2 linked regions of the Styela clava genome follow. The protein of the gene in region 1 purifies or fractionates together with the protein of each later gene. This does not show direct contact. Links are inferred from orthologs where the notes say so. Each region holds a gene or a part of one and is shown on either strand. Other genes may lie near its edges.

Region 1 (3,934 bases):
CTTTCTTCGTATCCAAAGTTGCAAAAAGGTCGAGTGCTTTCTCATCACCACTTACAGCCGCACGAGCAAGACTTGCAATTTTGCTATTAAAATAGATAATACAATAGTTTGTATGATTGATATCTCATTCAATGAAGTATATGAATATAGGGGAGCATTTAGCTACCATACCTCATGACTTTTGTCAGTATTCCAGTAGTATTTTATAAGAATACAAAAATAACAGATGAAATAATTCACAATTTTACTCAAAACAAAGTACTATATCAGTAGCCACTTGGACCTATAAGTTACAAGAGGTGTAAAATGGGCAGAACTTCCCAGTTCGGCATGTCTTTCATATTGGGTGATGTGGAAGACTTGGGTTGAATACTCGTTTAACTAAGTACCGGTAGGTTCAAATCGAGTATCCTTTTTATACCACACCAATATCTCCGATCGAACACCGGACAATTTCTACCACTTTCCAACTAAAAAATTTAGTATACTATTGTCCCACAAGATAACATTATATCATTTTACTTCACTTGGTGCTACTATAGCGTGAAAATTACTACTCATGGTTTAAAAAAGCATTGAATTAATCCAAATATCTTTAAAATTAGAAATGAAACTACTGCAGTATTTAGGCAAACTGTAAAATAACAAAATTCAATCCCACTGTCCACCTCATGATGTTTTCATTGCTAGATGATGTTGGTGTTATACATTGAGTGACTTCAGCTCCAATTTCAAACCTACAAACAGGATTGTGTTGAATTCTTCCACGATCATCAGCTCGCCACACAGCTGCTACACCAACCTAAAATTGAATATACACATACCTACGGTACTAACTTTTTTTTGCAAGTACAATATTATAAAAGATCGATGACAATGAAGAAAGTATGCAAGCAACATTGTCCCATCATTTGCTAGCACCGTTTTGACTGGAATTTCGCCTGTAGGAGAGTTTTTCAATTTTCAATCATTACTATCAACAGACTTTGAACTTAAATCGATAATACGATAAAATTCAATATGTGATAGGGATATACATATTGGCACATTACATACATATAATCTTGTCACTAAAATGCAACTCAATTTAACAGTTTTGCCTAAGAATATGACTAATGTAATTCCAAAGATTCTGAATTATACAATACAAAATAGATGCTGTGAAAAGTCTACATTAAATGATCAAATTGAAAGATGGACTGAAGAGGGAAATCAATTGACCAATTTCTTATTACTGCTTTCAACCAACAAGCCAATAAAGGAAGTAATAAAGCAATTTCCCAAATTTCCACAATGTTGAACATTATACCTCTCATGTTTTCAAGTAACTTAATAAGAAAATATATGAATTTTTGAACACATATATTTTAAGTTTAGTAATATTTTCTTATATGTGTCGTACTATAAGAAAACAAATTATTATTGGTATATTATAAGAAATAAAAACAACTTGTTGTTTTTGAAGAAAAAATCAACTATTACATTCAGTAATATACACAACTCTTTATATATTGTCAAGCTACCTTGTCACCAGATGCCAGTCTTGAACCATTAGTTGACCAGCATATTGAAGTGATAGCTTGAGTATGCAGTGTAGGTACTTCATGCGTCTCATCATTGTGTCCATTATAAATCACAAGTTCACCTGATGATTGCAAAAATCAATGTTTTTATCATCAAAAATTTGGTCAAAAATACTTTCTCAGCATCTACATTTTTGAATATTTAACAGTTTTATCTCCATCGATATGATGATTTAAAAATGACTTCGACTGCCAGCACTTTTTCTTCACTGTTTTATACAAATATATTAAGTTATTTTAAGAAAGGATATAAAAATATGAATAATATTACCATTTTCCCAACCAACTGCAAGTATATTTTTAATTGGATGCCAGGAACATATAGTTGGTTGACACGATCTTTGAATTGCGTGCTCTTTTGATGTTTTCTTTTCTCCCTATAATTTGAACAAAATATTGAAATAAAAACTTTTTATATTTGGGTAGGGTGGATTTTGAAACAATATATCTCAATATATTGTGGAATATATGGTTAAAAGGAGATGGATTCAGTTAATATATAATGAAGTCCAGACTCAGTCAAAGTTACCGTCAGAGATATGGATTCAGAGCCTGGAGACTGGCTTTAGTATGTTTCACCAAAATTGGAGCCAGTTTCCTTTTCTTATCAGTCTATTAACAGCTTGCATAACCAGAGTTTTTGATATCAGAATTGGATTTTCTATTTTTTCTAAAAAAGAGTTGAGAGTTAGAATATTTTATGTCTGAGCCAAATTTTTTTTAACCTGAGGGACGAAGTTGATCGCATCCCTCGTTATCAAAATATACAAGAATATCAAGATTGGAAATGCACATATCAATTCCATTTTGGATTATGAACCTGGGTAAAAAAAATGTGAAAATTTGAAAAGATTAAAATTATGCTATACATTGATATATATTGTCTCAAAGATAGGCATCAAAAACTCTCACCTCTGCATTGAATATATCCACGAAGCCAGCACCGGCCCCAGGAGATGCAGAACATACTGCAAAATGACCTGATACTTTCTGCCAAGCCGAATGAACAGTTACATTTCCAGAAGGTGTGTTTAATGCCCGGTCAAAATAAAGAGCCATAATATTATAAATCTAAAGTTTTATGAAAATCAAAGAATTTGAATGTTTTTAAACAAATTTCATCAATATAAAATGCTCAAATTCTGCAAATCAGGGGTATCTTTTAAATACTGGAATATCACAATACCATATACAGTCCGACAGTCAGCCAACCAAATACAGAAATACTTTAAAATAATATCCTAATTCCTAACAGTGTGGTTATTTTGAAATACCTAGTTCAGTATTAAATTAAATAGGAACTATTCGTTATTTCTATTATTTTATTTTTATTAAGACATAGACCAGTGGGGTGTCATGTAGTTTCCTACCTAACATACTTCTAGCGGGCGTAGTACAACAATTTTTTCATGTGTCAATCCTAACCCCCACCTGATTACGCCATCCAAATATTACGTCCATAGGACGTCACAGTGACGTAATAGAGACCTTCAAACTATACGAACTGTCATCCAAGACGCGCACGTCTGCGCACCCGAAATCGAGCGGCTATTTCTCTCGTTTTTACATCGCGACGATTCCAATATAAGAGAGATCGCTGACGTTAGTAAGTTCTTTATCGTCGGCGCCGATGCCATTTCGGGCGATAGTACGTATATTTAACAAGCTCTATGACGTGATTGTGATGTTGTAGTGATGTAATTTTTGGATGGCATAGTCTGGTGGGGGTTAGGATTGACATGTCGAAAAATTGTGATGCTACGCCCACTGAAAGTATGTTAGGTAAGAAACTACACGAGACCCGACCAGTGGTTCTGAACCTTTTTCAAGCAACTCAAATAAAAAAAAAAAAGATTGTAAAACATGTACCGTAAAATCTCAAGACCTAAGGATATGCTCAAATACTAACAGACTAACCGGTGTGTGTGGTACTTTCAGACTTTTATGGCGCAAAATGAAATGAACAAACACAATCCTTTTTACAAAACATTTACTTTTCCAGAAATTACGCCTGAGTCAGTACGGAAAGTCTGAAAGTGAGAAAATTGTGCGGGTATCTATGCCATCACTGAATTTTTAAAATCAATCCAGTATAGTCATTCTTACATCGTACTAAAAATCCGGGCTATCTCCAATAACCATACCCTCGCATCAAAACGTCACGGACGCACCAAAAGGATCATCTTCACCAGCTCAACGACTGGCAGACCCCACCGCCCCAACAACAACAAAACAACTAACAACTGCTGTCGCAAAATTTCTGAATTATCAGTCAGCTATTCCCACGCATGACTAATCACGGAAAAAATAATCATAGTGAATTCGATCCCGGCAAATCATCGAATATACTA
Region 2 (3,934 bases), on another chromosome or scaffold:
TTATCATTTTTTTTCTTCTGCTGATGCCGGTTTATATTTTGTAAAATACACAAACAAATGGCTCGATGGTGTGTCACGTCGTGCTAAGCGCTGGAATACGCTCGTCTGTGTGCTTTATTTAAAAAATTGAAAATACGGTGTACATAATAAATAAATAGGTAAACAATAAAGAAATATAAATATCCCAAAAAAGCGGGCGGATAGGATTTACATATTTATCCCGGGGAGAGGAAAGCCGATAAGACGGCTTATCCATATGGCGAACCACGGCCTCTCGCCCGGTTACCATTCCAAGTCGGGTATGGGATTAGATTTACTATATTGTTTGTTTCGGAAGCATGGACTTGGTGGTGGAGGAAGCCGTAACCGACCAGCGGTTACGTGAACCACCCAACGACGGCAAGGAGTCCAGCAATCCTCTCGTACATAACCATCCCTGCATGGGGTTCGAACTGCGAACCCACGCAGAGTAGTTAGAGGTGCGGTGGCGAGCGTATTCCTAACGTTGAGCCACACCGCCGCGCCAAATAATCGCACTGAAAAGTTTGATAGTGATAGGATTTTGAGACATTTCTCATCGTTATTAATAATAAAGTAAAACATAACAATAATGGTTCTTAATAAAAATAATTGATGTGGCTATACCATCCGAAAGAAACAACTCTAAAAAATATTTGAAAAACTCTCAAAATACAAAGATCTAGAGATCGAGATACAAAAGATGTGGGGACTCAAAACTTCAACAATACCGGTAGTGGTGGGGGCGGTTGGACTTATCGGAAGAGAATTTGAAAAATATGTCTAATATATTTCAGGAAAAATTAATGCAGAACAGCTCCAAAAAAACGTTCTTCTTGGAACAGCTCACATCTTACGTAAAGTACTTTCTATCAATTGATGACCTCAGGAACTTGAAAAGTTCCCGGTCGCCAGAAGGTTAAAATATTAACATAAAAAAGAAACTAAGAAATAATTATTTTCCGCAACCACCTGCTGTTATAAGTGCATACAACATGTCACGATTTGTAGGGTCTCCTGAAATGAGGGAACCTGTTGTTAGTGAGTTCTAGACAAAAGCGAACCCGTTCTAAAAATTTTGCCCACTACTTATAAGCTTCATGTTTTGTATTTCTGAACAGACTTTATACCTTAAAATTTTAAATATTTAAAATATAAAAATGGATTTTGATTTCGGCATCGGCAAAAAGAGTCAAGCAAAAACTGGGCGTAGAGCGAAGTCGACTAAATCTAATGCATCACTGAACACAAACGAAAAAGAAAGTGTAGTTCCGAAAGAAATCGCTCCAAAATCTCAACTCAAAGAAATTGGGGCTGATTCCCCTCCCCGGCCGTCAAGACGAATGGCGGGCTGGGGGGATGCCGATAATAAACGTGACCGTAATAAGGGGGTGGAGGATTCTAGATTGTTAGTAACAGGGGATTCCCCTAGAACACGAATTCACTCCTCAGACGAAGAAGGCGATGATCTCCAAGTAATACCTGATTTGGACGATGTTCAGGTAACCCAGTTTTTAATGGTGTGGTTTTAATATTAGGGAAGTGATTTTCAACTTTCATGGAACCCCTTGATAAGCGATTGGGGCCCATGACATCTTGATATGCTATTGGGGCTTATCACGGTGCCCCTGTTAACAATTACGATATTGTATTTTTTGTATAAATCCCCCACCAATAATACGAAAATGTGAGATTTGAGAAAAACACCTTATCCATGTTTTCAAATAACAAATTAGTAATTATCGAGTTGGTGTTAGGAATAATTCAAATTTTCTGCACAATCTGCACTCCTAGCCCCGACTGGATAATTAGTAAGTTTTTATTTGAGCATTGGCCGGTTGTTTGTTACTCATAGATCTTGAGATCGGTTAGTATGTTGATAGGTATTTGTGTGTTTGTCTGTTAGACACTTTGTATGTTACGCGATATCTCTCGAAAGCAGAGTTGAATCTCCTCCATATTTTGCATGTGCATTCGTCATATCTCGGACTAGAAGCCTATTGATTTTGGATGAATTCTGCCGTGTAATTAGCGAGTTATTAATTAATTAGTGGGACACGTGGTGTCACTATAGAGTCATGAATTGAAACTGCAGTTTCGATCGATAAGTCTTCGGTCTCCGACCGATATTCTCGTTTTGACTTTGTACAAAATATCCTTATTACTTAAAAACACTTATAAATGTATGAAAGTTTAAATATTTAAAAACGTGGGGTTATCACAAATGTTGAAACGTCAGGGGTTCAATGATGACCCCTTCGCTGCCCCATTTCTCTCATTCTTTTAATTCATTGCATGATGTTGCTCAATGCAATATCACCGACATAGCAAATTTTTGAAATGAAACAACCCCAGCGAATTTTTGAAATGAAACAACCCCCCAGACAATGAATGAAAAATGAAATCATGTCTACTACTGAATACAGACACACATTTTCAGGGCATAATAATATCTATGACATCATAAACTTTCACCTCTCTCTAGATGAAATCCTGGGTATGCCACTGAAAGCAGCCACCAACTTTTTTATGACATGGCATATTATTATGACATCACAATATTTCTGATTTTTACCCCCCATTCATCCACCTCAAAAAAACTTTGGGTTTAGCCAGCCACTAACATTTTCATAATTTCCACAGAATGAAGATATCGCACAACAAATGGCTGCCCCACCTTCAGTTGCGATGAATCAAGTCGCTACGTATCGTGAACTTGACAGTGACCTTCAACGACATTCGACCTTCACACTTCTAGACAATGAAATCGATCTCAAACTTCTTGCGAAACACATGACAACTGGCATCGACGAACCAGACGAGACATGGGATTGGGATATATTATTCGCACAAATATCAGGAGCCTTAAGACAGAAAAATAATTCCTCAACAACAGCGACTAATGATAAACTGATTTAATGCTTAGTCATGGTTGGTGATTTGTTTGCTGAGTTACTTTGAAACGTGCTTAGTCATCTTCAGTAATAAAAATAGTCTCGAATGTATTTTTACTTAAAGAGCAGTGGTTTTCAACCCATATCTCTCTCACCCACCCCTTCACCCCCAAATATTTTTTTTGATTTTCTTTTTGTTAAATGCCTATAATGTAACACTTCTTTTTTAATGAACGGGTTAAAAATTACGGGTTCCTGATTTCTTGACCTTCATGTGTGGAAACTCTGATTCCGAAGCATATAAAACACTTTATAATGATACGTCAACTATTTTTTAAGGAATCCCACTCTCAGTTATATTTACGGAATAGAATTGTATCAGTTCCCCACGAGCCTTGGCCTATGACGATGGGGTTTCAGAAATTTCATATTTTTTCGCTTTGGGATTTTTTAATTCGTTGTGTAAATGGAAACACTGAATTTTTGTTGAGCCCAGATTAGAACTAAGATCTGAAGCCCGGGTCGGACCTGTCAATCATTACGTTTGGGTCGGGCTTCTCTACCGCTGACTTTTTTTTAAGTGAGGCGTTTTGGCCACGAGAGACAATGGTCTGTAAAAAACCTCATCAACACGACACATACTGTTCTAAATGAACTCTCGCAATGACAATTCAAAGAACTCCTAAATATGAAATTTTTGGCTCGGGCCTGCAAATTTAGTCACCGTAATTAGTCGGGGTCGGGTCAGGTTCAATACCCACGGGCCTGGGTCAGGTCAGGCTGGAATTTTGGGACCCAATCTTACCTCTAGTCCAGCTAGATGTCTGAAATTAGTTATATTGCCCGCCAAAAAAATGTTGCACCCCCGGTCTATATAAACTGGTGAAAGAACGAGAAGCCATGGAAAAGGATGACTCATCAACTTTCCTCTCCTACTGTAGTAAAATGAAAATCCTATCCTAACCTCCAGTCTAAACAGAGTCTGAATTTTTATAGCTTACTAAAAAAGTGTTTCATATTCA

What was found.
Region 2: the proteins of intraflagellar transport protein 140 homolog (region 1) and intraflagellar transport protein 43 homolog purify together in Homo sapiens (affinity purification with mass spectrometry; 3 studies listed by BioGRID and IntAct, counting the BioPlex papers as one, with this or other methods). This does not show direct contact. The link is inferred for Styela clava from reciprocal best matches to the Homo sapiens genes IFT140 and IFT43.

What each region holds. Positions count from the first base shown.
Region 1 is NC_135262.1:5,589,714-5,593,647, reverse strand, and holds the start of intraflagellar transport protein 140 homolog, read right to left. Parts: upstream 2,654-3,934; 5' UTR 2,643-2,653; coding exon 2,496-2,642; intron 1,961-2,495; coding exon 1,855-1,960; intron 1,646-1,854; coding exon 1,524-1,645; intron 803-1,523; coding exon 669-802; intron 84-668; coding exon 1-83. UniProt on the Homo sapiens protein: Component of the IFT complex A (IFT-A), a complex required for retrograde ciliary transport and entry into cilia of G protein-coupled receptors (GPCRs).
Region 2 is NC_135254.1:1,980,659-1,984,592, forward strand, and holds intraflagellar transport protein 43 homolog, read left to right. Parts: upstream 1-1,143; 5' UTR 1,144-1,178; coding exon 1,179-1,520; intron 1,521-2,661; coding exon 2,662-2,937; 3' UTR 2,938-3,509; downstream 3,510-3,934. UniProt on the Homo sapiens protein: As a component of IFT complex A (IFT-A), a complex required for retrograde ciliary transport and entry into cilia of G protein-coupled receptors (GPCRs), it is involved in ciliogenesis.